2 linked regions of the Lepisosteus oculatus genome follow. The protein of the gene in region 1 binds, or shares a complex with, the protein of each later gene. Links are inferred from orthologs where the notes say so. Each region holds a gene or a part of one and is shown in the gene's direction. Other genes may lie near its edges.

Region 1 (15,158 bases):
CGCGCACCCCGGATCGCGAGCCCCGGGCCTACGGGTTCCGGACACCACTCGGCCCTGCAGCATTCCCGGACACCAGTAACATGCTTTCAGGAGCATCCTGCTTCCGTGTTGTGCTTTTCTGATAACTGGCCGCTTGTAGCCCTGCAATGTGAGAAAAAATACTCTATTTGTGCGTGCAACCACATGTAGGAATTGCGTTTTAATTCACGTCTTTTGATTTTATTTTTTAGGCTTTGGTTAACCTGTGTTGTCAAATCGACCGCTGTGGCTGATCAGGTGACGTAATCTTCTTTTTGTCGTCCACATAAGTATCTGCATTCGCAGAAATGATGTACATTTTACTCTGAAGTCCCCTGTTTCTACAAGATGCAGACAAATCTAAGATTTTGTGATTTAGAAAGCAAATGGACACATTGATGTGTTAAATGCATTTTCATTTGTCGTTCGTTTCAGCATTATACAATGAAACTCCCACAATTAAAATCATACAATAGATGTATCTTTTTAAAAAATATATATTGACTTATTAGATTGTATTAAACTATTATAGTACGGAAACAAAATGTTTAAACCCAAATAAAATAAGAAAGTTGCAGGATAAAATCTAAAACAGAAGATTTTTTGTTAAAATCTCACAAAGAAGAGAAGGGATTTTTAGGAATGCTGTTACAGGAATGTGCTGGAAGTCTCAGCATTAATGCAGCTGTCTTAAACATGAAGTATGGAGGGAGAAATAACTCATTTTTAAGACAGTGTTTACATCGTAATTAAAGTTTCTAAACAAAACTAAATTTTATTGAGGCATCTTAAAAAAAAACGAGTGAGATGAACAGTTCTTAAACATGATTTGTTAAGATCATAGATACATGTTACATTTCACACCATATTGGTGGGGAAAAAAAAGGTACTTACCTGCAATCATGTGTGTAGATATTGTGGTGTACGTTTTGTAAAACATGATGGTGGAATTCAGTTCACAAAGGGAAAAACATGCAAAAGCAGGGTCTTAATTGCAAATGAGTGGGAGATGTTCAGATGGAAAAACTGAGCACCTGTGCCTACATTCATTTCTTGAAAAGAGTAAACAGTTATAAAATGAAGTGGATCCAACTAGTCAATACATCCAGAGTGCCTGCAAAGTCAAGATGCCTCATGTTCACGAGAGACGCTTTATATAAGATCATTCTCTCCCATGATACACCAACTTGTTCACCCACACACACGCACACACTCAACACGCCTCCCCGTGCCTGTCGCCTCACTCTTCCTCTGCCTCTCAGTAGCTCACGCTCGGAAAAATAAGATCTCCGGTTCCGGTTCTGCAGACTTGGGGAGGATGTTTGAAGGGTTGGCGAAGAGCAGGATATCGTTAGAATTCATGTTTTATAAATCCCCTCACGACCTCGGAACTTTTGACCAGCGTTGGCGTGTCGAAAACGTCCTGTGTAAGATTGTAAACCGTGATAGATGGATATTCCTAATTATTTTCCTAATTCTTAAGGTAGGGTTCTAGGAATCAAGATCTAAACTCTGGATTTTGTGTTTCTGTCAATAAAGATTGATTGAACCCTCTCTGTCTCAGCAGCTCACCCATCCCCGGACGCAGGAGCAGAGGAAGCAGTCTGCAGACACACTTGTCGCCCGAGCCGATCAAGTGATGTTTCTCCTTACTGTCGGGAGGGGAACCTCATAACGAAAGCTTTTTCCGGGTGTGAGACTATGTAAATCGGTTCTGATGATTTCCCAAGCAGCTCTAAAAGCCACAAACCAATTTTAGTTCCATACTTGTGGCTTCAATATAGCACGTGCATCGGTTTACAGAACGACACCTTCTTGCAGGACCTGACAGCATTGGCGTTTTAAATTTTGCATTCGGGATTAATTAATCTGGATTAAGAGCAGCCTTTAACTGGGAAGATTATTTAATGTTCCTGTTGAGGCAGCAGTCAGGAGCTCACACACTGCTAATCTGGTTTGAAGGCTTGTCACTTAAATGGCTGGGCACTTTGGCATCTTTGAACTGCTTTGAAAAACACAAAGGATCACGCTGTAAAAGTCTGGCAAACTGCCTTGCAAACAAACACACACAAATAAACAAAACATGACTGTTGAGAAATATATGGCAGACTGCTTACTATGTGCAGTTATGTACTCAGACAGAGAGATGAGATAAGAGACGTCTGAACAAAATCAAAAGCTCTTTAAATCTGAAGCTCATGCTCCTTCATAGAACATTGATTGATGTAAAACGTCCTGACAAAAACTGTTTGCTTGTAGGCAACCTGGATATTTCTTTTTCAGGTTAGGTGCAATTCAGAGGTCTTAAAGAGCTACTTAAAAGTCAGCTGTGTCCCTTGTTTGTTTCTACTGGTGACAGTGTCTTATTATTTCATACATGGTTGTATGATTAATGAGAGGTTTTGTGAAGGGGGAATGGATAATGAATTAAATCTGCAAGGACCACATCTTTTCTAAAGATGATCCTACACAAGTAACATGTTAGTAATTATAAGTTAAATCCCTTTTGTGCTGTGGTGTAATTCTGTCTATCACATCCACTGAACTGTTATTCTGCAAGAAAATATATATTTTTCAGTCAGAAATTAAATGCACTGTCTGTTCAACATTAAAAATTAACCAGAAAATAGGTCTCTTTCAGACGTTTTTTTTTTCTGCGTGACCTTCAAGAATTTAAGATCAGACTTTACCAATAGTCAAGTGTTACCTTGAGAAATGAAAGAAACAGCTTTCTCCTGCAGTCAGTCTGCAGACACCTTACAAATGTGAAATTGTTTTCGTTCAGATAAGAATTTGAGAATCTATGTCAATTTCTCCTCAGGTGTGCCATATCTTCAAGACAGCTCCTTTTCATTTTGTTTAACGGTAACAGTGAAGATTTTTAAATGTGATTCTCGCAGCTGAAGACCTGAAGTACTGTACATAATACATTTATGCAAATACAAATATTTGGTTTAATCTTCATTTACATGTATTAGATGAAGTACAGTCCACTGTCCTTAAAAAATAAAAGGAAGTGCCGAAGGTTTTTACTCATTTTAAAAACATCATGAAGCAAAGGAGCAGGAAGTTCCATCAGCATGTTCTACTGCAAACTATTGAACATGCACAGACCTGGGGGTGTGTTTTGGTTGTGCTGGGGCAAATTGAATGCACATGTCAAGTGCTGCTTTGTCCAGTGGTTTTAATGGTAGTTTTGTGAGATCACATGTTTTGAAAATTGCCCATCAGCTAACCATGTTTATGGTTGTTGTTTTTTTTTGCAGACCAATACAATGTCTATAGTGATGGTGCTCTTCAGGCGACACTCAGCATGCCATCTGATTTCAGAGCTTTTATCCTTTTAGGTCCTTGCACTGAAGGGGGTAACCGGATTAAACCCAGGTTGTATGTGAAAAAAAACACCCTCTTCTGCTTCCCTGCCTGCGTGGCTTTCCGACCAAACAGACTGGGATCAGCTTCAGAAAATGTATCGGAAAAGAAACATTGCAGTCCGTCTCGTGGTTGCAATATCGCTGAAGGAGAGTGGACTGCAGGGAGCAGAGTGCCGACCGAATTCTCTTCTTTCTTTTTCATGCAATAATCCTGGGTCCGTTTGCTGTGAAACTTGGCCCGTGCAGAACTGGTTCTGAATTTCAGCCCAGGGCAGCTGCAGTGTGTCCCCCCAGCCCTCCACTGTCCCCCCCCCCCCCCCCCCAGTTTAGGGTTCAGCACAGCGAAGACCACAGCACGTATAAGAAAGCTCAATTACCGATGCCGTGCTGCTTCTATCTTTCAAATACACCTCCATGTTAAAGACCTCCATGTGAAGCAGCCTTCTAACTTCATCCAGTCCCTGTTCACCAAAACACGTTACCATGGTGCCTAGAGCCTGGTGCACGCTAGGATGTTTTGTTCAAACATGAACACAGTTTGTCTCTGCAATCTCCCGCATGATGGGAGAGGGAGTAAGCATAATAAGCTCATTACTTCACACCATACTTTGGTTTTTATTTTTGAAAAGCCACGCCTTACTTCATACGACCTGCAGAGTGAGTGTGTGTGTGTGTGAAACAGAGGAAACGACCATCCTACATCTTAATGACAATAATTAGTCAGAACTAATTGTGTGTTTTAAACTTTCCCTAATTGTAGATTATGTCCCTTTGCACAGCCAGAGTGGATGAATGAGTGTGCAGAGGGGGCATCAGATACCACTGGCTTGGATGAATGGGTGTTGTTAAGGTCTAGTGATGTAATTCATGTACATTTGCACAGTGCTGGTCTACCTTTGCGAAGGAATGTGTGCAGAGATGAACATGAGTCACGGACACCTGTCTTCATCCTCGACGAACAGATTCCAGGTGTATGACGCTGCATGAGGACGGTGTGCTCTGTTGGAAACGTGCTGCTCATCCTGTCTGGGAGCAGGGCAGGTCTGAGATCTTTTCCTGGACTTGGAGATCTTCCAGGGCTGAGGGCCGGGCGGTCAAGACGCTCCGGCTGTGTGTCCAAGCCCTTCCCTGTTCCAGCAGGGCCCTCTCCTCCACCGCGCTGAGCTCGCCTGTTCTGAACGGGATTAGACTTTTTCAGCTTCTCCCCAGTAGTAAGACGCACCTGAGGGACAATAAAATGTGCACACAGATCAACTGATACAGTCTGGGAGAGGCTTGGAAAGGCCCCGAGCAGAAATCAATTATTTATTTGTGCGGTTTTTGTCAAAGGGTGACTTTTAGCACTTTCCACCAGCCCTCCCACCCTCCTAAACCAGTAGCTCTGTTTGCTTTTATAATTAAAAAAATGCGTGAAAGACAGCTTTGGTTAGCATGCTGTTTTTTTGAAAGGCCCGTGAGGCTGTGTGGTCAGCCAGGTAGCGTCCGTCCTGCGCGGACACTCTCCTCTCCGGCAGGGAACAGGAAGGGCCGACTGGAGCCAGCGAGTGACCTGGGGACGAGAGTCCAGCTCTGGCTGGGCTCTTCCAGACAGAGGCCTCTGGCCCCTGCCAGTCTCCCAGCCCGGGCCGCCAACAGGGCTGACGCAGCGGGTCTCTGTCCAGGTGGGCGCTGGTGTTATTCGGCTACTCTCCCACTGGGTCACCTTCATCTTTGACAAATGGGCACTGCATTTCTTTTTAAGCCTCTGTCTCCCTGCTTCACGGGAAGCCCTGAGGTTAATAATAATAATAACAACATCAATTTATTAACCCTCTGCAATTTCTTGCATTAGGAATTTGTCTTTTCACATACCCCAGCTTGCTCTCCCTGAGACATACAGACAGGGAGAGAGAAGTTTGGGGTCAGAGCACAGGGTCAGCAATTATACAGCACCTGGAGCAGTTGGGGTTCAGGGCCTTGCTCAGGGGCCCAACAGAGTTGGAGTCCTCTGGGGGCCACGGGATTTGAACTGGTAACCTTCCAGCCACAGGCACAGATCCTGAGCCACAGAGCCACCTCTCGGCTGAGGGTTCAAGCCAGGGCAGGTGAAACCAGCATCAGTAAGAACGGCCTCATAGCGACAGAGGGGCTGTCTCCTGTCCAGGCTGCAGGAAGAGGGGTACCTGACAGCGCCCACTCTTCCATTCCTTCAGCAGGAAAAATGACGCGGATACAATGAGCACAAAACCGGTAAAGCTTTTCGCTGCAGGGGGGAGATCGTGTATTTCAATTACACTACTTGTGTAGAACAGATCTTTTTCTGATTTGTTCTCATTTATAATGTAATGCAATTAGAAACAGAATATAAAAGACTGCAATATCGTTTGAGATGTTATTGGAAATATTTTTTTTCATGGCATAGATTTTTGCTTTGGCTAAGATGTGTTGATTTCAAACTGTAATTGATTTGCAAAAAATAAAAAGCCACTAAACAAAGTATTACCATTTACATTCCCCCCCAAAGAAAGAAGTTTGGATTTGTGTGTATGTGCCAGTCTCGTTTATTCGCGCAGCTTAACTGCCCCTTAGTGTTTTAGGAAAACACAAGCATTTTAATCAAAAACTGTAAAATGCCCGCAGATAATTATTTTTAGATTATTTTATATCTCGGCTTGATTACAGCTCATAGGTTTAATTGACTGTCAAAAGAAGGCTGGACAACTACTGCAGAATAACTTTAATTTGATCTTTATTTAACCATATGAGCCAATCGAGAACAAATTCGCTTTTGCAACAATGACCCGGAGATTTATTTATAGAGCACGGCGTTTACCGCCGCTATCTGAGCGAACTGTCTTGCTCAAAGTCACAGCAACAGCGGTCCACGTGGGATATGAACCCGCAACCCTCTAGTCCGGAGTCCAGAGGCTGGGGCCCCTATCTGTGACCCAGTAAATTTAATTCAATAAGAGAAAACTCGCTGCGATCTTGCATCATGCAGCTGTCGCAGCCAGCTGAATCTGCCCACAACGCGTGTTACAAGTAACGAACAAGTACCCGTCTGGAATACAGAACTGTTGCAAGAAAAAAAAAAGACAACTCGGACGCGATACGTGTAACTCGATTTCCTCCGTGTGCGTGGAACGCCCCACGCCCCACCTCCACCTCGACCGAATTCACTTGAGCATTCCCGTTTCCCCTGACGTTGATTTTAGGGGGGTGGTCAGACTTTGTGTATATTTATTAAAGATCTCAGTCAGTAAGTGCATTGTGTGCGGGTTTTCGCGTGCTAAAAAGCAGCATGAGGGATCGATTTCAAAGGTTACAAAGAACTAACTTGTGAAAGACGATTTTGTATTTCGACTGGTCACAGTTTCACTACATTTAGGGTGGCCCATGAATTGCGTTTATTTTTCTGTGGGGATAACGCGTTACTCGAAGAACGGTGTTCTCTTTTACACCATATAGGTCTGGTAAATGTTTATTTAAAGGGGGTTGGGAGAAGAGATCCCAACGAAACGTGTTTGTTACAGAGCGCTACAGCCTTTCCGCTCCCGGCGGCAGCTACTGCGCTTGGAGGCCTAGTGCCTGGCAGCACCATTTTGAAACAAGAAACAGAAACCAGGGAGAGAGAGTCGTGCTGCTTGCCGTCCTGTCGTGGTTACACGATACACGCGGGCCTGCAACAGCTCAGTGGATGAGGAGGGCGGCGGCACGGGGGAGGGGGGGCGATTCGGCGCTGTGTTCGCGCGTGCTGCGGGGTGCGGGCGCCGCTTTCCGACTCGCGCTCTGCCCGTCTCCGGGTCTCCAGCCCCGCGTGTAGCCGACACTGGGGGGAGTGGGAGCGGCCCGCCCGCGCAGCGCGCCCCGACCCCCCTCCTCTTCTAGAACGCTTCTAGAATTCGTTTTGCGCCGCGCCTGCCCGGGACGGGCTCGCCAAGGCTCTGTGCCAACGAAATGGCCACCCTCTCGGCTTGGCGTTTCGCAAAACCACCGCCCTTCTCGACGTTGTCTGCTGGGGAACCTCCCGGGCGGCCCGCCTTTATGGTCTATACCGCTCAGGCAGGGACACCAGGCTGACGGGATCACGGGGTCACAATTTACCCCCCAACCGCCTCGCTCGCCGACCTCCCCCCTGTAGATACAATAACCCCAGCGGCAGGGGGCTCGAGCTGGGTGTGCGTGTCCAAGCGACCGAGAGGGCGATTAAATGATTCATTCTAGCGCTGATGAGCGCCCATCGCCATCGCTGGTGCCCCAAAGCGGGTGTGTCGAGCTGACCCGCGATGGCGCGGGGGGGTGTGCACACAGACACCCACTCGCCCGCCGGCGCGACCCCGCGCTCCCCCCTCCCCGTGCTCGCGCCCGCCTCCACAGACGGACACACACCGTGACATGCGCGCGCCCTCGGCAACATCAGCGCAGAGCACGAAGGCCCGGGCTGTCTCGCGCACCCATCCGCGAGGGGCCGGCCCTCGCTCTCGTTACTCCGAGACCACGTGGTTTCCTCTTTGCAAACACACACACACACAAGAAGAAAAAAAAATTGAGGCAATTTTTTTTTTTCAGGTCGGGTTTTAGAGGCGGTGCCACAGCTAGGCAGAAGGATCTGTGACGGTGCGGGGGTATAACTCGAGGTTTAGGGGCAGAGAGAGAGAGAGGAGCAATTTTTCCCCCCTGATCGCGCCATCGCACTGTTACTATCGCTGCTGCCGCCGACAGCACCATCGCCGCCTGTGCAACAATCTTCTCCCCAGTCCAGTTCGCCGAGAGTGCGTGCGATTCACTTGGAGATCCGCGGCGCCGCAGTCTCGACGTCTCCGCTTTCGCTCGGCGAATCCGAATTCGGCAGCTCCCGGTCGCGGCGACCCCACTTCGCCCACAACTTTTTTTTTCTCTCCCACCCATTCACCCCGATTTCTTTTTAATTTTAATTTCGAGGCGCCGTTTTATTTTCTCCTTCGTTCCGAGTAGCCACTCTCCCTCTTCGTCCTTCCGTTTTGTTTTGTTTTTTGGTTCCAATTTTAATTTCGGGTCCTTGGTTTTTTTTGTGGGTTTTTTTTTTTAAAAAAACTATTTCTTTTTTTTTTCTCCTGGGGGACCGGTAACAGTTGTGTTTTTCACCACCATGAACAAGCTGTATATTGGAAATCTGAGTGAAAACGTGACTTCGGAGGACTTGGTGAAAGTCTTTGAGGACTGCAAGATCCCTTTCTCTGGGCAGTTTCTATTGAAAACTGGCTACGCGTTTGTGGACTGTCCAGATGACCACTGGGCGATGAAGGCGATCGAAACGTTCTCTGGTAAGCTCTTTAAAAGTAACGAGCCCTTTCTTTAACCAGAGCGGTGTATTTAAACAATTTACAACGAAGTGTGAGTTTTTTTTTTTGGAGGGGATGTGGATTAAAAAAAAAACGCGTACTCCGTGAATTTCTCTCACTCCAATTTCGGAATCCACTGAGTTTGTTTGCAGAGGAGAGGGGTGTCGGGGGGAGGGGGATTATCTGATTGAAAACCAACAGATTTCGGTCATTCCGTTTAATTCCGTGTGGGAGGTGTTTTAAAACCTGGCCGAAAGATAACTTTTAAACGGGGTGAGTCGAATCGGCAGCAGAGTTTAAAAATGGTCTGTGGCAAACTGGTGCCTTACAAGGTATGTGTCCCAGTGAAACAGGTTGCTATTGATATCTTTTATTATTTAAGGCAGGCATGCCTGGACCTCTTATTTTTAATTTAAAAAAAAACGTTAATTGGGAATCCAGTCCCCGAGAGAACTCCCGAGGGGTGGCATTGCTCTGGTCTGTATATAAGGGTTTAGCTATACGAACACGATCCCCTCCCCCTTTTGTCATGATAGGCCATTATAGATAAGAGGAATTGAATTTGTTTGTACAAAAATAGCCAGTGATTAGGTCAAACATGCCTTATGGATTTAAAGAAGCGAGAGGTGATTCTCGAATAACCGGAGAGAAGGGACCGTTGTACGGTCACAGGCGATAGGCGAATCGTCCGCGAGTTTTTCGGTCCTTCCTTTTTTAAAGAATCAATTTTCCTGATTTTGTACATTACCCCCTATAGCATGTGATGTTCCCTATAGCGCGAAGGTCGCCATGCTGCTTGCGCTTCAGCTATAGTCGCGCTACGAGAACACGGCGGGCGACTGTTTTCCTTCGTCATAGTTAAACGGCTCCACGCCGAGAGAACCGGGGAAACTTGTGACCCCGCAGAAAAGCGGGGTGAAAAAAAGTTAGCAACACCCCAACAAGACAAAAGCTGTAAAAGTTCCCCTAGTCGTGCCGCTGCCCAGTAATTTCTATAACGAAGACCATTACAGCTTGGGGCACGACTACAGAGAGGAAAGGCGCCGTGCAGATGTTTAGGTGTGTTGATATGTCACCTTCCGTGCCTGTAACAATTTTTTTCCCTTACATCGAGTACCCAGTGTATGAAGTTGTACCCTTTTTATTTTTTAAAAAAAAACGTATCTTTGAACTACCACGTCAGGGTTGCGGAACTGGGACCCATTCGGATCTTTCCTCAATTAAAAAAAAAACAAACAACAACTTTCTAACTGCAGCAGCTAGGAAACTCTTTCCATTTTGTGAAAGCCAGCCGTGACGAGACAAGAACGAAAATGCGTTAACATCCCCACAAACAAAAAAAAATCAAACTGCTCGGACGGTACACAGAAGGGGGACGTTAATGCAAACACGACTGTATTTGTTTTTCAGGTAAAGTGGAGTTGCACGGAAAGCGCATGGAAGTCGAACATTCTGTGCCCAAGAAGCAAAGGTACTTCGGGTATTCGAATTATTTGGGGGTGTCGAGTTTTCTTGAGCTCCGGGTGGCCTGGAATGAGTTTTGTGTGGTTGCATTCAGTGGTGTGCAATGAAGAAGGGATCCGATCTCGTAGGGTGACGAATTCCCTCCTCACTGTTAGTTCTCGAATTGGGCCTGTTTTCAAGTCCAACTCCCTCTCCACGCCAAACTTTAATTTAGGCTGGAAAGACTAGTCGTAATTTACCCTCCCTCCCCCCTCCCCATAAAAAAATGACGGATTGCTTTCGATTCGAATCAGAAATACATTTTCACTAAAAGAACACCCTGAAAGTCAATTGCACGAAATTTAGTGTTTGCTAAAATTTCAATTCATTCTCTCGCCATCTTGAAATTCATGCACGTAAAAAGAGGAGAAAATGTCTTTTTTTTTGAGAATCTGGGACTGCTTGCTAGTGAACAGCTCTGATCAGAATGTCTTGGTTGTAGTTGCAGGTTTTGAGTTTAAGGCCTACTGGTCATGAAGGTTAGTGAGGCGGTGTTGTGCTTTTAGTTGTTTTTTTTTTAATTTACCTGGGCTTCGAGAAACCTGGTGTGTTTGCGAACGAAGATTATGCATCTGTAAAATTGGTTACTAAATTATTTCACGCAAATTTGCTAAAGTTTTTTTACATTGAAATGTTTCGCTTTTTTTAAAAAAAAGTATGCATTTGTTTGTTAGGAAATAATTGGCGAGGTTTTATTAATATTAAATACAACTTAACTTCATCACCTAGATACTTGGGGCTGGAAAACGGTAATAAATGTTGTTGGGGAGTATCTTCCGTGCCTTTTGTGTGGAGTAGAAACATTCTTTCAAGCGGTGCCCTTTGTTTTGGCATTGTGCTAGTGAAACGTTAAAATCTTCATCTTGGCTTCTCGGCTACAGTATCTTTCTGTGCATTAACTGCCCCCCTGAACGCAGAAGTCGTCTGTAGGACACTTTCTCAGTTCGAAGACGTTTGCCGTTTTAACAGCTACACATTTTAAAACTCCCCTCTCCAGCTTGTTTTCTGAAAGCGCTTAAACAAAAATAATCGAGGCGCCCAGTACAGTCGCTGGAGTTTGTGTGGATGTGTTGGTTCCGGGGGAGGTGCGCGGTTGGAGTACAAATGTGCAATTCTTGGGTCTGTAAAATACTGAACTGCTCAGTAGAACATAAAGGTGTTCTTCCCCTCTGTCTCCCCAATTTTAAAATGTGTTCAAAACAAGTTTTTACAAAGCTGGCCTCAGCCACTCCCCAGCCCCCAAGCGCATATTTCCCCAAACGTGGGGTGGTGGGGTTAGGGGGGTGACCCACTGGGGATCAGGACCCCTCCTGTCCCTTAGCACGACGTTCTGGTCCGGCCAGGACCACAAGAACCGGACCGCTCGGCCACTGACCGGGCCCATTGTGTGGTTCGAACACACCGAACCAGGCCGCAAGACTGGCGTGGGGGTTCGTGGTGGTTTTGTTTAAATTGTTATTTTTAGAATGTCGTCCCCGGCCTGTTAGCATTTCATTGAACATTTTACCGAACAGAGCGCAAGTTTGTTTTTTTTTTAAAAAAAAAATCAAAATGGAGGCTTTTAGGATAAAAAAGGGAGTTTAATCTTTCTGGATTTAAAATAAAAGCCACGCGGATGGCGTAGTCTGAATCAGACAGGTCTGTTCCGCCTTATTGGGAGAATTATTGTCAGCAGTGGCAATAATCGATTTCTGTATACGCGCTATGGAAACCTGTTTATGATCAGCGAAGAGAAATACGTGTTCGACGTGCAATGTCTTCCTTTTTACATTGATCTGAATTATAGGCCGAAGCGAAAGAGTCCAAAACTTTATTTAAGAGGGAAAAAAAGTAATTTTCCAGCAGCAGCAGAGCAACATGTTTTGCAATTTCAGGCAATAACATTATTATAGCGAGGGGAGTGTGCGCCTTTGCCTTTTCATTCCCTACAAATTTGTAATGTATTTTAATTAATTCCATGCGTCAGTTAAACTATCATTGTGGTGGCTGACGATAAATATGCACGTATTTCATCAAAAGCCTTCAAGGGGTAAAAGAAATGAACCAAATAACAACAACAAAACTTTCAACTTTAATATTTTTTAAAAGAAGGGACAAAAAGATCTTGACTCCAAACACGTGCTTCTCTCGCAGTACAGGGCCCGCTTACGTCACTCGCCACAAAATAATGGCGTCTCTCGGGTCTGGTTTGTAACGACATGGCTACTCCTCTTATAAGGCATATATACGGCGACGTAGATCCCGTGCACCTATCTTAATTCCTGCAGACGAAAAAGTATTTACAACAGAATTGTGAGATTTCACACTCTTCAATTTTAAGGCGACAGTCTGCTTTGTGTGAGGGGAAAACTGTTCTTATGGGCAGTGTATTATTTCAGGAAGATCTTTGAAGCTGTCCCTAGAGGAGTAGTGAAAATAACCTTCCCAGGTCTACAAGACTGCTCGAAAATTTCCTAGGCTTTTTTTTCCCAGTTTGGTTGCAAGATATGGTTTGGGAAAAAAAATATTTTCTTGAAAGTGTTTAAGAAGGCTAATGTTTGTAGGAGGGAGTTTATAAAAAGAGGTTTCCATACACAAATGGCTAAGGAGAGAGAATGCACATGTATATAGGTGATTTAGTACATATTACACAAATAGTTTTTAACAGGCTGATTCACTTTTAGTTCAAACGTGTGATTTGTTTTTGTTTGTGAAGATGGGTGTCATTGCATTGTGGTGAAATTCAGGCAGGGCCTGACTGAGATGCTGGCGTAACACTCGGATCCTATTTGGGATAGGAATGCAGTTGTGAACAGGCCCTGTTTCTTCTGCCATCTCTACATGTGACTTGGTATGTTAGGGCTTTTCATGTTATTAAAGCACTTCCTATACACTTCCTGACAAACTGTGGTGAATTTGCTCTCCTTGGGGGTGAGAAGAATGTGGCCTTTGTCGGTTTTAATCAGGACTTTTTCAAAAGATGGAAATCGTGGTAAAAAACGAGACAAAAGCCGAACGGAAACATTTACGTGAAACGGGTCAGGGTGGCGAAAAATTGGTTTGAATGCTATGTTCCCGTTTGCCTCTTGTTTGGGTAGATCTGTTTGTTGCTGGAGTGTTGGAGGTTCGGTTGTAAAACTATTATCTCGCACAATGGGCCACACATCCTTGTGTCGCCAGGCGGGGCTGCGGGTCATTGTGATGTCACAGAGGGGATTGTGACCTCACACTGGCAGGACAGGATTTGGTGAGTTAGCTTTTGACAAGGAATCCAGTCGAAATGTACCTGCAGACATCTTCCGTCATCAACACCACAAATGTAAATGTCAAGAGGAACTGAAGCCATTTCTGCCTAGCACTTGAAATACCTGTTCTCAACCTATGCTTTATTTTAAAATGCTAACAATATTAATAGAGGTGTCTTAGTCATGCATTGTTTAAGACAGCGGTTCTAAGCTTATAGTTTCATTGATCAAAAGAAGTCACCTTTATTTGATGAGAAATTGGTTGGTGTTTACAGACATCCATGGGTGATCCCTTATGTTAATTTTAGGAAGTTGCCAGGACAGAATAAGCTCACGGTTCTGCTGTAAAGAAAGAACACAGACCCCTAGTCTAGTAAATTTCCAGTGTTTGTGTGTTGTCGGAACAGTGTTAAAACTGATTATTCCGGACGGTTTTAATTCACTTGCCATGCTGGTGTCAAGACTCTCCATCATCTTAATATTTTTCTTGCCTACGAATATCCTGAACCTTCAGGGAGGTTTAATCAGTAGAAGCCCCAGTGATCTATCGCTGGGTATGAATTTGGGGAAGGGGGGTGTGGAAATGAGGCTGTTGTGGTCTTCCCCGTCGTCTGTCCAGCTGTGTGCTGCACTGTCGCCCCCCTGCGCTTGGGCTCTTCCTGCTCGGGAAGGAGCTGGGTTCAAGATGCGTGCCATTGGGGTGTTGATTTTTTGTAGCGGCTGGGGTCGAGGAGGCGGATAGGTGTGGGAGCGTGCCCAGCCTGTGCCGAGCTCTGGCGCGGGTTCAAAGCCAAGTGACCCCCGATGCGGAGTAAACGCACTGCCCATCCAAAATTTAAAATATCTGCACCGCACCTCTCCACTCGGGAGGCGTGAGTGAGCAGCCTCCTGTGATGCTGGTGAAGAGGAATTGGCATAGCTAGGTAGAATCTGCACCCCTCTGCCAGGCTGCCTGGTGAGCAGAGGCCGCTGGGCGGCTGGGGGGGGTGTTCTCTGTTTGCGCAGGGTGTTCGTTCACCTTGAGGTGCCTGCCTGGGCTTGTGGGCTTTAAACAAGAGGTGGTCACTTGGGCTGTGCTAGATGACTCTTTGGAATGCATGCACCAGGAGTCATCCGGCCCAGTGATGATAAATCGTGGAGCACCGTGGAGATACCCTGTGTTTTGTATCACTCGTTTTTTTTATCGTTCGAAACCCGTGCCTGTGTTGTTGTTCGGAATCTTACCCGTTCGATGTTTCAGTTCCCGGTTTTCTTGGTTTGCGGTTCGAGCTCCAGTGTGGAGTTCTCCCGATCTGGCCTCTTCACATGTGCGCCGATGTACTGCAAAGGCATCTGTGTGCTGAAAGCATGTCGTAACGGCGGTGGTTTGCCCCCAACCATCTAACATGACCCTTAATGGCTGATATTTTTTCAGTAAGTGTGCAGAAGTCATTAATTAGCCATGTGCTGCACTGCAATGCAATTAAATGTACATAAATCTGCTTTGATTTGGTTGTGCCCTAAGCAGTCTCTCTTCTAGTTGAAAAGGTAAGTCGCTGTATGAAGTCTGTCCCTCCCTCGATGGAAGACTGTTGCAATGTCTTGGCTCTTAGCTTTTTAATGGAAGGAGGAGTGGCTCCGCGCGGTTGTGTCAGGGGGTTGTGTAGAAGTTGGGCTGTGGTTTTTGAATGCAGTTGCCGCCCGAAGGGGCTGTGTTCGAGACGCAGGCATGCCGAGGAAGAAGGTGTGCTTGTGGAGAG
Region 2 (15,609 bases), on another chromosome or scaffold:
TAGGGGTTTTAACTGTGCAACTGCATTTTTGTAATAATTAGCAAGTATGTATTACAGCATTGAAACTTATAGAACTGCATATTGATCAGAATGCATCACAGAGTAAATAAGGAAATAAGGTGACCTGTTAATGGAATTATAGCAATCTGTTGGAGTGTTAGGAGTGTTACAGTGTGCTGTAAGATGATGGCAGTAAAAGCAGTTTAAGAACCATAAGCAAAATATTACTACAAGTACTGATGGTTAAAACATAATGAAGTATGGCTAGGCATGATGAAATCAAGGTAAGGCATAGTATAGGGAGGTTTAGTAAAGCACAATACAAACCACGCAAATCAAATGAATGATACATCAATAGAGCTGTGAATGTTCTGTCCACATACTGTACACTATAGTTAACTGGTGAACCCATGCAGGAAATCATGAAAGATTTAATACAGAGGAGGAGGGATATGCTGTGATCTCATGTACCAGATTGCCTGACAGCGACGCTGCTACTGCCCAATCAGTCCTGCATAAGGTCTGATTTAAAAGATTGCTTTCTAAAAATGCATAAGAGCTTACTTTTGCATTTTGTGTGAAATATATTAGAATTTGATTTGATTCAGTGTTATTATGATCATGGTGCCATTTCTGCATACAGGCTACAGACTAGCAAGAACAATGCTGTGCTGAACATGCTGTAACATTCTTTAATGAACATAAAGCACACTCTAGAGGTTTTCAAAATCATGTTAAAGCACCACCTGAAGAGCTGGGACTCGTTAAATTGGTCCAGTATAAAGAACTTCATAAATACCTGTAAACACATCATGTTTATTTTGGGTTTTTTAGACCATAATAAAGAAATTTGATTAATTAGGGAAAAACAAGGTAATGGAGGTGGAGGTAATTTGTGCTGTCATGTAATCCCTTCTAATATACTTTACCTTGAAATGGTACAGCTTCATGCAGTATACTCCATATTCATTTCCCACGTGGGCCGTCCTTTGTTAATGTTCATCATGTTTCCTAAGATTGACTGTGGATTTCCTTCAGCTTTTTACTGCCTAATTCTGAGGTGATGTGTGGAAGCAAAATAAAGCAATCTGGTGCAATATTAAATATTTCAACAATCATTTAATGTAAAAGCACAATGTCTTTACTTTTGTGAAAACACGATAGTGTGCATTTGAAATCACTGACCAAGAGGAATCAACCACTAATTATTGTGATCTTTAGCAATATAAGATTCTGAAGAGGCTCAGATTTAACAATTGGTGGGTCCATACAAAAACAGTGGTTTTACTCAAGAGGCACCCATTTCTCTACCCACATTAGGTTCATTGCAGTTTTCAATGCTACACTGTTATGCAGGCCCCTGAAAAGTGCAATATGCTGTCTCTAGAGCTGTGCATTCCCATCTCAAAAGTCAATAATAGAAACCCAGATCGTAGCTCTTGCCTAGTAGGTCACTACTTTATCAATACACCACATAATTTAACATGTCTCTCATGCACAGCTTAAAACACAAATTTTTGATTGCAGTTTGCCACAGTTACTATCTGTAACTAAATCTCTTTGCTGTATCACCTCTGGGGACAATGCAGTTTAAGTAGAGGAATGCAGCTGTTCTGTGGTCTGTCAATGACAGTAGTAAATTGGTGGACATCTTGCAGAGGGTAGAGTGCCAGGATCAAAATTGAGGAAAACCTTTATAATAATAATAATAATAATAATAATAATAATAATAATAATAATAATAATAATAATAATAATAATATTATTATTATTATTATTATTATTATTATTATTGTTGTTGTTGTTGTTGTTGTTGTTGTTATTGGGCCTCTGAAAGGCATCTGGTAACGTAATTTTAACTTAAAATACCTTGGTACCATCATCTTTAAAGTCCTATGCTATACTGATCAACAACTCATCCTTCAGACAGCCAGGAAATTAGATGTACCTCCAAGGCAGCAAAAGTTTCACCCTGGTGAACAAAGTATTTCTTTAGAAACAAGTGCAGAGCTTCCTGTTCTACTGAGCCAAGGTTATCCACAACTGTGAATCCAATATATTTAACACATTAAACAGAAGAATCTGTCCTGAAAATGTCCAGATTGTAGACTGCACCTGTTGCTTTATTGCTGAATACAAGAATTGGAAATGCTTCTCTTTTGCTCTTTCTGTTGTGGGAACTGTATTTTGGTTCTCAATGATGCTTAACCAGTTCTGCATGTCATCTTCCACTAACATGTTTATGCACTTTTGATCAATTTCTGGACTACATACAGGCTGCTGCTCCATCTATGCAGATGTGTAAATCTCCCATCTTAGAGAGAATTCCACCAGTGTTGTTGCTAGTGGTGTGGGATTAGGTTGGGTCTTTAAGACTGAAATCTATTTTGTATTGCAACTTGGCTCTTTTTATAAAGATTATACATCAGCTGTAATTTCAGTTTAAAATAGACTACTACATTCTAATGGGTCTTTACCTGTTAACACAAATAAACTCAGATAGAAAGTTATTTCTAAAGGGAGAGACACTTTGTGTACCGTACTGTACTTCCTGTTTGTGGTTTTTCTGAATGTGCTATTGGATGTACAGTAACTGTGCTTGATTATACCTTCTCCGTGATAACTCCTAAGTTACTAATTCCAAGACACAATTTCGTGTGCAGGTCTAACTAAAACCAAAGTCCATTTTACAAGGCTAGACTGAAATGACTTTACTTCCTGCTTAGTTGCACTCAATTACAGATTTGTTTTTGGTAAAAATATATTGCTAATGCAAAACTGTTTTAGAATGGTCAGATACCTTTTCTCATCTTCAGAACTGGTTTGATTAGTCCCCTTTCGCCCTTTTCTGTGCTTGCATGATTTTTTCTTTCTCCATTTTTAAATGTATGATTCATGGTATTTTGTTGTGTTTGAAAAGAAAAACATTGTTAAAAACTCATCACTTAGACACTATTCTAATATGGGTCATCTCTCTGTCTTAGAGATCATGAGAAATACCATGTTTTAATATGTGTTTTTAGTTTTCCCTGAGGAAAACATTTTTTCCAATAGTATGACAGGTACTGTATGTCAGTAAATATCAGAGCTCCCTACATATACTGTAGGAAGATGGGCTTCACACAGGTGACACTAGTTCCCTAGTAACCTCATGCCTATGTGACCTTAACGCATTCTTCAGTGTATGTGGAGTGTCTTACCTGGGCAGATCCAAATCCAGTTGTCCTCTTGCACACATCTTGCACACATCCTGTTGTATTTGTTGAGATCTGACTCTGAGCTTATTGCTGTTTCCAGAGCATTAAGCGGTCTAAGAGTACATGACTCCCCTCTGAAAGGACCACCAGTTCCTTGCATGGCTATCCCCAGCAGTGCCACTACCAATTAAGCGGGGTACACTGGAGAAATTGGGGTAGAATAACTTACCCAAACGTACAATGGCTATGTCTTGAGAATGGATTTGAACCCCCAGCCTTCCAGTTAGGAGTCCATGACTGTAACCACTACTCTCCACTTCTCTACAATTTGGTACTTATGTTTTAAAAATAAAACTTCTGCTTATTCTATTTATATATAATTATATACTGGAAGACAGAGTGAAAAAGTGGCTTTAAAGTGTCATTTATACACCTACTCATAGATGCTGATGGAAATGCTGAATGTATACACAAGTGGCCTCAACAAGCATCTATGTACTCTATTTCTAAATTCCTATCAGAAATTCTGTAACAATACTTTTAAAATAAGAAAAAGTGATAAAAAGCATTTAAAAATAATTCCACATTAGTTTTAAAAAACCCAAACCCCAAATGTAAATTGATTTTTTGGCATTTGCTTGAGGTCATCTCCACTATATACACAGTGGGTTCAGTAAATTTAAGGAATGCCATTTCTGCCTGAATTAATTTTATTTACCTCCCACATAAAAGCAGGAGAGAGAGATATACAGTAAAAATAAGAGGCTATTCCTTTATTCGTTGTCATTCTGTTTTTCCGAGTCTGGCTCTGCAGTAAATTACACTGAATCAGCCCTTGAGCTGTTAAAGAATCCAAACTGTCGGTACAATTAGAAAAGTTTGGAATGTGGGGAGATCCTTTGTGCACAGGCTTGCCAGTCATGCACATTAAACTGGGACACCAAACCCACCTCAAAAGGAGCTGTCGCTACCATCAAGAGCAGTGTATTTCCACCAGGATTGTAACAATAAAGTTACAAAGGGACTCCCATGACTTGAATACAGCATACAAGCCCTTATGTTTCCTTTGAATCAGGTGTCTGCCTTACGATAGACCCTCTTTAATCTCTCATCTTAAATGAGCTAACTGGAGAGCACATCCATCTATCCATTTTCTAACTACTTTATATAAGACAGGGTCACGGGGAAGCCTTAGTCTATCCTGGAAAACAATGGGTGCCAGACAGGGTACACCCTGGAAGGGACACCAGTTCACTGCAAAGCACAGTCAGACAGAAACACGCACATACTCACACCAGAACCAATTTTCCAATGCCGTTGGATTCTGAAAGGAAATGAGAGCAGCCAGACAAAACACATAAACTCCATATGGAGGCACCCCAGGAATTGAACCCAGAGCTCAAGCGTAAATTATACAGTATCTCATGATTTAAAAAAAAAACAGCTTCTACACTAGAAGTGCACCAACCCACCTTAATGGTAGTGGAATCACTGAGAGACTACTAAGTACTACTTTTGCTGCTCCACTCATCTTGCTCTCTATTATGAAACTGGTAGAGCATGGCACAAGGTAGTTTAAGAAGTTGTCGAAAAGCCCAGCAACCATAATAGATTATATTCTTTTGTAAACTAGGAGTAAAGCCATGTGGTTTTCACAATCTGAAAAGAGTGTTTTGTTTCCCTTCAGTCACTTCTCAAAGCCTGAGATGAATTGTCAAGCTCTTAGGTGGCCTTTGCAGTTTAGGCTAATTGTTGCTGTGCACCATTTCAAACAGATGAGGAGAATGAAACATCAGTCATGTTCTGATAACAAAGCCATGAACGGACAGCCTAAAGTAAAAGATGTCAATACTTAAGACATCACCATAGACACTGTAACAAGTTTAACCTTTTCAGATTCGTTCATAAAAGACAAATGGGTTTCTCCTATTTGTGTAACCTGTGCAGTCTTTCATTATATCTTGGTGCTTCCAGAGCTACTATGGGCAGTATGAGATTAAATTTAAGAGGCAACTGAAACCCTTTGAGCCAGTTGGAGTTTTTAATTAATGAGCAAAGAGACCTCATAATTGCATATGTTCATTATCTTTATTCCATAACAGGGTCCTTTTTTTAATCTATTAATGTTAGATGCTTGTCACCGGGGCGGATGAATGTAACCATATAAAACGCTTGATTATGCAGTTTTAATGGAATGATTGGGATTCAGACGCTTAAAATTAATGGCATGGCGTCACATATCCTATTTAAACAGTCCATATTGTAATGAGATTATTTATGTAATAAATTAATAAGCTGCTTATGGCTTCATAGGGTCATGATTTATAACGTCCCCACCCCTTCACAGCCCCCAGTTCAGCAGCTAAAATGTAGATGTGAGATGGAGCTGAGAGAGGGGTTGTGGCATTGTCTAACAGGTTCAAAACCAGGAGGAAACTAGCATTGCCCTGATGCCTATCCTATTCTTCCGGCAAAGCTCAATTTCCCTATATTGAATCACAATTCTGCTTCACCTTTTACCTGGGCTCCATGTAGCCAGAAGGGCTTCCTTAGCTATTTTTTTTTACTGGAGGGTTGATCACATCACATAACGTTATTAGCCATATACAATTTCTTGCATTAGGAATGCATCTTTTCACATATCCCAGCTTGCTCTCCATGAGACACATGACACAGACAGGGAGAGAAACTTGAGGTCAGAGCACAGGGTCAGCCATTGTACAGCGCCCCTGGAGCAGTTGGGGTTAAGGGCCTTGCTCAGGAGCCCAACAGAGTAGGATTCCTCTGTCGGCTGCGGGATTTGAACCAATAACCTTCCAGCCACAGGCTCAAATCCTTAGCCACAGAGCCACTGCTCACCCCAAGATCTTACACATCTCAATGGCAACTTTGCAGTCTTACATTTTTAAATGTAACAACAAATTTAATAATAAATAAAGACTGGGTGACATAAACTAACGTGTGTCCATGTCCTGCAGATAAACAAGGGTTTCTCTTAAAAGAAAGGATCGAAATTTGGTGTTTCATGTTTCAGTGTTCCTTTTCATTAATGGACTTGGTGCTGGTTTTCACCCCCCTCCTCCTGCCTCCCAGCTTTTCCAGTCTGGGAGTGTCAGCACTAAAGGCATCATTGCAGCTTGCATTCATATTACATCCAAGAGGACTGCAGTTTATTCTCCATTTCTAGCCTCTCTGTTTGCCTTCTTCCTCCATAGCTCATAAGTTATACTTACTCTAGGTACTCCATCGTAATTCACTGGGCTTTGACACTCTGAGGTCATTTTTTCAGCTTCTGTGTGACCTTGATGACCTTGATGGCTAGGGTCGCTGTGAAATGAGAAGGCAATGTGTGAGCCCCTAGTGACTCAGTGGAGCCACCAAAATTCAAATAGGTTTCCACTTTCTCCCCACCAGTGAGACTGCATTAAAAAAATCTGTAATCTCATGAATCACCTCACCCCCCCTACACACACAGACATCAGTCCTTGGTGGTGGAAACCAGAGATGAATGCCGGGAAAGGACAACTGAGACCCCTCCATGTGCATTACACCCCTCCCGCATGTGACTCGAGGGTCTATCTAGCAGTAGGTAGTTAAGTCAGACACAGCAGACTCCTCACTAGGACCAATATGCATGTATCAGTAACAAATAAGAAGCTTGCTGGGTTAATAAAAGCAAGTTGATTTCAGCCTGGAAACATGTGTGCATGCGTATGTGTGTGATTTGCCACATGCCCTGCTGTAAAGCGCAAGGAGAGTCAAAACGAAGGAAGAGCAAGACAGATGTGCCGTGGCTGTCATTAGTTAGCAGAGACTACCCACCTTGTGGTAACACAGTGAACTGTAACTGCCGGGTAAAGAGAGTGAGAGAGAAGGAATGAGAAAGGGAGAGAGAGAGAGGAGAGAGAGAGGGAGGGAGTTTAAACTAAGAGCTATGTTTTGGGACAAGCTAATCTGCCAGAGAGCTGTGTAAGGATCGGAGCACATTGTGTGTGAGAGTGTGCGGGGGAAAGATAAGGGAGCAGTCCTACGAGCCCGGCTGCTTGTTTTAATGTGCTGACTCCGGGGAGATAAAGAAAAAATATTGACTCTCCAGTTGTGTGCCGAGACCCCGGGCACAAGCTCCAGAACTGACAGAGGTGTGCAAAGGCGAAAGGGGGGGAAAAAAAAACAACACAAGAAAACAATAAAGGATCTTTCTTTTTAATTTCAGTTTTTTGGTCCTTTTTTTTTGTTCCGTGGGACTGCCTCCCATTTCTGCAAGAGAGACAAAGAGAGGGGGGGGGGACAGCAAAAAGAAAGGAAAACAAAAGCCTTGGCAACAAGATGTTTGAGATCAGCCGAACACTGAATGCCGCCTTGTTGAGCAATGAGGTAAAGCAATGGATTTGATTTTTCTTTCTCAGGCTCTCTAATTCCAGGATTTGGGGAATATTGGCTGCCTGTCCTTTCTTTTTGGTGTGTGTGTGTATGTGTGATTTTTGGAAGGCAGGAGCAGGAAGTGCAGAGGGGGAGGTAAATTTATGGAAATATTGGGGGGGGGTAGAGGCTGTAAAGAGACATCCTGGCAGGGCTGCTCAGCTGGTGGATGGAGGTTAATAAGTTGGGAATGGGGTACTTCGTTTTCTGCCCCTGCTTGCTCGTGGTGAAGTGAGTGGAGAGGCAAGGGTTGGCTGTTTTTGGTATGATGACTGGTTTTCGTGATTCTTTCTGAGCAGGCGGCTGTTAATGCCAAGGATGCATGAGGAATAGTCCATCTGGGGCTCAGAGTGTGTGAACAAGCGCGCGCGCGCGCATGTGTGTGTGTGTGCATGCGTTCCAAGGGTTGCGTGCCTGGATGTGTGTGTTCGCTCTCTCTCCCTGTCTCGATCTCTCCTTCTTTTCTCTCTCCCTGTGCTTTACCATTCCATCCATCCTTCTCTGTCTCTGTCTGTGTGTGAACGAGGAGCCTCTTTCACAATCCCACAAGATGATGATGAGGTACCCACAGCACTTGGGACTAGCCCCTACTGAAAGCACCTTACCTGAGATGAGATCGCTGCTTTATCCCAGGGAAATCCCAAGCAGCCAGCCTGGGGGCAGGTCACTATTGGTAAGACGAGAGGTGGGGGACTTGGAGGTGGGGGAGGGAGACACAGGTGAAGTTGGGTAGAATCAGTCAGTTCAATTGGAGTGAAAGGAGTGAGCAGTTTGTTAGGAATGAAGGTCTACGATGCTTTGCTTGCATACTTTGTCGGCGCACCTGTCAATGGGTTAAACTGTCCATAAAAAAAGAGAAAGAGCCGGGGGAGGGGGATTTGTGCAGTTTCAATCCCATTGGGGTTTGCTTCTCTGCTGTATGACCTTGGGCAAGTCCTAGCACTTCCGTATCTGTCAGTCCAATAGTGGTTAGTACAGCGTGTTTGGGAGGAGGCGGAGGATCTCTTACAAGACTCGTAGTGGTCCATCTGGGAAGAGCAGCTCTTCAGTGTATTGCATAGAGGGCCTGGGGTCGGGGGGATGGCATGGATGACCGAGAGGAAGAGGCCCTGTAACAGTCAGGATTGATCTGTATCATTTTTAAGGGCCCAGATGTTTTGCGTACTGTCAGAGCTGTTTGAGATCAAACAAGCTGGCAAGGATAAGGGAACTAATGATTTTGGTCAGGGATTTTCAAGCAGAGACAGAACAGAAAAGTTTTACAGCCTTCCAAAAACCAAATGAAAGAATCCTCAGACGTGAAAAATTAAAATAAACTCTGGGTAATTATTTTGTCCCGGTGAAATTTCGTTCTCCGCACTCATAGCAGGTTGAAGGGAAGAAAAGATTAAAGACCAGGAGGAGCTGAGGAAAAGAGTGGTGGCTTGGAATTATTCGATCTGAGTTTCTTTCTTTTTTGGTGTGTGTTTTCTTACTGCCTGGTTGTATCTGCTAGTGATGTCTAAAAAAAAAAACAGGAGACACTGGGAAACCCGTTCTGGAAACAGTCAGAGAAAATTCCCCTGCCTGCCGCATAAAATCTACACAAGACAGGGGGCGTTTGATCTGTCATGGTTACTCATCCTGGTGGCAGCTTCTCCTTAAAGCAGACTGAGCATCCAAACTTGGAGCGCACTGCTGCATGGCACTGAGGCGGGGAAGTCCGGGGCTGAAGCAGAGGGCTGCAGAGCAGGGGCTAGTAGCGTCCACCCTGGTGGTTCAGTCTGTCAACAGTGACAGCCAGCTGTTGCTGTCTCTTCCCCTTTCACAGCTGGAGCTAAATCTCCACTCATAGGAAGAGCACAGTTAAACACCAGATTCTTTACAGTCAAAAATATAAGAATATTTGCACCTGACAAAAAATTGTCACCCCTTGGTGCTCATACGGCTTTAAGATACTGTAAGTGTTCCCTCTTCTTATCAAAAATTTCTTAGTACACATTCAACGTGTTTTTGTTTGTGTTTCTTCCAGAAATGTGTTTTACTGGAGAGGATGCATACAGTTGTGTGTCAAGACATTTCAGTTAAAATGTTGCTTAAAATGTGAGCTGCTCTTTAATTCCCTTAAGGAAGTCCACAACATACAACACTTTAAATGATAGCTGCCTTCGCAGGGTTGTGATTTACTGAGCAGCAGTCGCCGAGATTTTGCTGCCTGTATCAGCACAAATGTCCTTTTCTTTTTCCTTCAATCTGCAGTGTTTACGCACAAAGGAGAAAAACACTCAAAGAAACAGAAGCGGATAAATAAATGGTTCTTGTGATTTTGTCTCTGGTATCACAGATTGGATTGTGTTTCCTCTTTTCAAAAGAAACTGTTGGAAAACTTGTAACAGGCTTCACTAAGGCAATTTGTTCAGTACTAGGACTAAAGGTAATGCACTTGATGTTCTAACAGTAGCAGAAAAGATGGCACTATTCTTATTTTATAGTGAAAATGAGAACAGGTTGGTCATTAGAATTTGATTTCATATCTGAGAGATTCGAGCATTAAGTCAGCAATGGTTCATATATTTGTTTTAATGGCATATAAAGACACATAGCAGGATCAGGCAGCCTAAAACTATATGGAATTTTACAACATTACCAGATGCAGGGATACACTGGGTCTGATTATACTCTGCTCTTTAGATCTAAGAAATATATTTAATAATAGACAGGGTTTTAGTCTTTTTTTTTCATTCCTAAATTTAAGATGGAGGAAATCTATTCTCATTTCTTTACCTTCAGCAGCAAGAGACCCTAAACAGGACTTTGAAAAGGAGCTGAGATATTCTAATTAGGTAATTAGCTAATGAATGGATTCATTCTTTCATTCATATTTGATACAGGTTACAGGGAGTTTGACTGTCCAGGGAGATCAGATAAAATGAATATTAAAAAGGTTGGCCCTGTGGTGACAGGGAGGAAGACAAAAGGTTTCAGTGTGAGAATATTTTTAAAATTCCAATTTATTTAATTGATTCAAGCTCAGTTTTTTTTTAAACTTACCTGCCTCTCTTTTTATGAATCTGATAATAAATCAAAAGGTTTGGTTCCAGGCCGGACATTGTTATAATACTAGCTTACAGTTTTTAAAATGAAGTGGTACAGTATTTCTACAGCTCTGTTTCCTGTCCTTTCCCCTTCCTTAAAAGCCATGTGAGGGGCAATGTCTTTGGTTACACTCCTGCTGTGTGTTGATGAGAGGAGGACACTATTTTCAAATTCAATAACTTTTGTCAAAAATGTAGTCCGTAATAGATAGGGGATATAAATAAAATCCTTTATATTTCTGCTTTAAAAAACATCGATAGGTGGCATTTTACCTTTGTTAATTGAACGGAAATGTATGTATTTGTGGCGAAAGACGTGCCATCTTCTATGGATTATCTGAAGAGGCTTCAGATTGTAGGGCATGCTGTATAGCGGCAGCCTGTTCTTTTTTCAGGTGAGTCTGCCAGAGAACATTGTGTTTGAAATGGTGCCCAATCACACCAAAAGGAATTTAATAAGCTCCCTCACACCATCACCGTATAAGATAAAACTGCTATGGTATAATGATTTATGTCGCGAGCTGTACAGCTAGGAAGATAGTGGGCATAAGGAAGCACAACGTTTTCGGTCTCTGGTCTGTAGTGCAGAAGTGTGAAGGAAAGATGTTTTTAACAGTAAGAGTGGATCCTGCCTTTTTACACCACTTAAAAATTGCCATTGCAAACGAGATTCTGCTTTTACGGAACCCGAATGAATCACTATGAAAACAATGTTTAATTTTTTATACAAGTGCATTTAAACAATGCTAGCTGGCGTGTAATATACTGTATGGCGTTAATCTTACCTCTATATTTTAAAAGAAAAAAAATCAGCGTCAGCTATTACAGAAATCTTTCTATAACAGAGAAATCATGCTTTTTATTTAGGTTGTGATTCAGTTCATGGCAGATTTACATTAGAAAATAATAATACAGCTGTTCGTGGTCTGCTCATTTCTGCTATTGCCTCATCAAGGAGACTCAATCAGGATTTTTTGACATTTTCAATTATAGATCAATGAACCCCATTGTAGGAAGGCTGCTGTTTTCCTTTTCCACACAAATATAAACAGCTGCTGTTTTTGTTCAGCTTTTTTTTTCCTCCATAGGCAAGTGATTGAGAGTTTTTCCTTGCAATGTTTGAACGGAGCAACTAATCTGCTGTACCAGTGATGAAAACAAACTGAAGCAGTCGTGTGGAGTGGAAAACGTCTTCCGATTTGCATATTGCTATGGGCGCCACACATATTGCAGGGGTCAGTTCTGTTTCTGAACATTGATTAGCTCCATCCATCTGGCTTCTCTCTAGTTTCCTCCATCCTTGATTGCAATGTTTCTGTTGTTAACTTACCCAGGAAATGATTCCAATTACACTCCCCCAGCCCTGCCTAACTACTTATCGAACAGGTGTGGGAAGAGCAGCTATGGTGTAATAGTGATTTAGAGCAGAAGAAAGAGTTATAGCAACAGTTAATCTTTTAAATATTCATGGAGTATTGTGCAGTAGACAGGTGTTGGTTAGTATTCCCTAAACGAAAGAAAATGTGCTCAGAAATAGCTTTTGTTGGGTATTTTCTGCAGTGCTGTGTGACAGTATTTTTCAGTGTATGAGAATGTACCTTGGTTTTATTTGAAGTACTATTAATAAAAACGACAACTCGTGCTTTGCACACAAATCTGAAGCCGGCTGTCATTAGGCACTAGCAGGACCTGAGTTTCCTTTTGCTGTCAATTGATTTGCCTCTAGAGACCACATTCCCTTGGGATAAGCACATTTCTCAACCCTGTGCCTTTGTCATTCTCGTCCCCATGTTTGTCTGTGCCAATAATGTCAATAGTGTGTCCCCAGCAGTGTTTGGCAATGTATGTTTTTTTACCTTTTCCAAATCCTCGCTATTGACTGGTCCAAACAGAATTTTGACCCAGCTACCATGAGTCCAAACGCCTACAGAAAGCCACCATAATGTAATAGGTTTACAGTCCGCGATTGGTAGCTCATCTGACATTTTGATTTGGCCCTGGCTGCAGTATCGGTTCCATCTCAAATGGCCATAATTCTTTTTTGACTTTGATTCCAAAAAGGCCAACATGTTTTTCAGTTGTCCTGAAGCGTGTTCATCTATTTGTGTGGGCTGTCAATGCCCAATAGAATCTTGCAGAAAACAAGTCCCAATGGGAAACAATTGTTATAAGAAGAGTCCGATTTGGGCAACCTTTAGGGCTATTATTTACCCAGCAGGCAATTACATGATGACTGATGTTACAATCAACAACACATAATCATTATGTCTGAAGTGGCTAGCATCTGCATCTTCATGCAGATTTGTTACAGCTTTGTGACAGATTTGTGGCAGCTTTGTTACATTGAGTTGCTGGTGAAATGTAATAGCAGTGCCAATGGGATTTCAATTTTCAATTTTTCAGTTGGATACTATTATTGCCCAATACTAGCAAAAAGAAGGAGGCTCAGCGGTCCAGTGGTTAGCACTGCTGCTTTGCAGCCCTGGGTTCAATTACTAGGGTACTATTTGCAGGGAGTTTGCATGTTCTCCCTGGTTTTGAATGGGTTTCATCCAGGTACTCTGGATTCTTCCCACAGTCCAAAGGTAAAATGGCTTCTGGGAAAAATGGCCCTGCGGTGATTGTGTGCATGTTTGTGTCTGTGTTTGCCCTGGGATGGACTGGTGTCTCATCCAGGCTGTAATGGGATAGGTTCTGGGCCACTGTAACCCTGACATGGATAAACAGTTATTGAAAGTGATGTGATGATGTGTGTAGCATAAAGATGTCCATCTTTGCCTAAGCTATCATACTGTTTTGTATAAGAAAAGTCAATATTACAGCTCCCAAAATAAAGTTACCCTACAGTTACCCTACAGTGACACTATGCCTCCATAAAGCATTATTTAAACGCCAACCAGATTAACCTTGGACATGCACATCATACTAACCTAACATTCATCCTGAATGAAGTGCTGTAATTATGTTCTATCTTTCAAATTGAAAATAAACTCATTTTCCTATTGTAGTTTTGAAACCTTGAATACTTTTGACATCTGTAATGTTCTGAAGGATTGATGTCTTTTTTGAGGATAAAAGGACACAAAAATGCTATCAATCTTGAAGGTCAGCCTGGGATCCTCATTAATAAAATTTTAAGAGTGGGGTAGGTGGTATCTACTTGATTTACAAGTGCCTATAACTTAAAACATTGAAAACATTTTCAAATGAATACCCTAATCAAAGTGCAAAACAATGAAGTTCATTTTCCTTTAGCTTCACAGTATTTAAGTTAGTCATGCATTTGCTGAACTATTATGTATTTCTGTGTGTCTATTTAATTTGATTCTCTTTTTTTGTGATTTTGATTCATCATGAACACACAAAAATGTATTATTTTTTATTCATTTGCCACCCCTTTCTCACATTGAATTCACCACCACAAATTAGATTTTTGTAAATATGTGTCAATGTAACTTCAGTATCAGTTAAAAATCATTCCTGTCCGAAAGTTCTGATAGGCTTCTTATCTTTTTAATACCATCTGCCAATTTACACCACATTCCAGTACAGGTAAGACAGACCTGTGTTTTAATAATTGGAGAATAACATTGTTCAACTTTGTTATGTCTGTAAAAAGAAACACACAATCTAATCAAAAGTATGGTCATAATAGAGTGTGCATGAGATATTAAGCCATGGTGTGTGTCTTTAACTTCACAGTTACAGAAATTGTTTTGGTTCTGTTTGCATTTGTAATGACTGCATTTGTGGATTCAGATTCTAGCTGAGCAAATGTTAAGAATGTTAACATGTTTAAATAAGCAGCAATAGGCATATACATACTGTATACAGGAAGGTAGTTTAAAATGTTTTGAGCCTCCTGTAAATACTGTATGATATAATACAAAACCACACACCTAGAGATTCCTGCTATTTCAGTAGTTTTGACAGGTAGGCTGTAATAGGTGTTGAAAATCGGAAGTCAAACATTGCTCCATTATCAAATTTCTGACAGTACAGAGCACTTTCAACAGGGGTTCAGAAATTTCCTTCAGCTCAGATCCTTGCACTATTTGTTGAGTTCACAATTTGTTGACAGGCAACCTGTTTTTTACATTTATTTTCAGCATTGACACAAGTTGTTTTCATACACATTCTCTCCTCCCAGACACCCCAGGCAGTTCTGTTTATAAATATTGTCCCAGGTTTTCACAATATATGAATAGAATGAACTAACACTCTTCCTGTATGAGTGTTCCATGTGTATCACAACAACAGGCAGTTGTATTTATAAATATTGTCCCCCCTAACATGTTTTTAAAATAAAAGTAATAAAATGAACTAGAATAAAAAGGACTCAAAATAAACATTTTTCCTGAATGTGTTCAGTGTGTTACAATAACAGGCAATTATGTTCATAAATATTGTCCGCGTTTTTCACAATACATGATAAAATAGACTAGGATTCAAAACAAAATGAACTGACACCCTTCCAGTTCAGTTTACAAATTAAAAATCTGTACTGACCTTGTACTAAATTTATAAACACCCCCATTATTAATGCACTTGTGTGTGATTATTAACCTTATTATTAAATTATTAAATTCTGCTCACCACTAACTGTGGAGAGTAATACAAGGGGATCCTAAAAATGCCTTAGGCTGGATGACATGCAATTGGCATTGAACAGCTCTGCTAGTAAGAGAGTAAGCTGAAATCTGAATGCTGTATGCTGAAAGCTATAGTCATCGTTTTTCGGGCGTTCATAGACGATCAAACTAATGATTTGGATCAAACAAATGATCCAAATGGTCATGCATTGTACTGTAACATTTACCTTCTTTACGGGAGAGATGTGTGGTGTTCTGTGGATCTCAGGTTCCTTATTTCTGCATTCTGCATTATTTTGTAAGCAGGGCACAGTGGAGCTCTGAGTG

Evidence for each region.
Region 2: igf2bp1 (region 1) and elavl4 share a complex: the UniProt entries of both Homo sapiens proteins name them as parts of the TAU mRNP complex. The link is inferred for Lepisosteus oculatus from reciprocal best matches to the Homo sapiens genes IGF2BP1 and ELAVL4.

The regions. Positions count from the first base shown.
Region 1 is NC_090723.1:9,505,237-9,520,394, forward strand, and holds the start of igf2bp1 (insulin-like growth factor 2 mRNA-binding protein 1), read left to right. Parts: upstream 1-7,927; 5' UTR 7,928-8,499; coding exon 8,500-8,674; intron 8,675-10,102; coding exon 10,103-10,163; intron 10,164-15,158. UniProt on the Homo sapiens protein: RNA-binding factor that recruits target transcripts to cytoplasmic protein-RNA complexes (mRNPs). This transcript 'caging' into mRNPs allows mRNA transport and transient storage.
Region 2 is NC_090704.1:27,001,384-27,016,992, forward strand, and holds the start of elavl4 (ELAV-like protein 4), read left to right. Parts: upstream 1-8,140; 5' UTR 8,141-8,166; coding exon 8,167-8,289; intron 8,290-15,609. UniProt on the Homo sapiens protein: RNA-binding protein that is involved in the post-transcriptional regulation of mRNAs. Plays a role in the regulation of mRNA stability, alternative splicing and translation.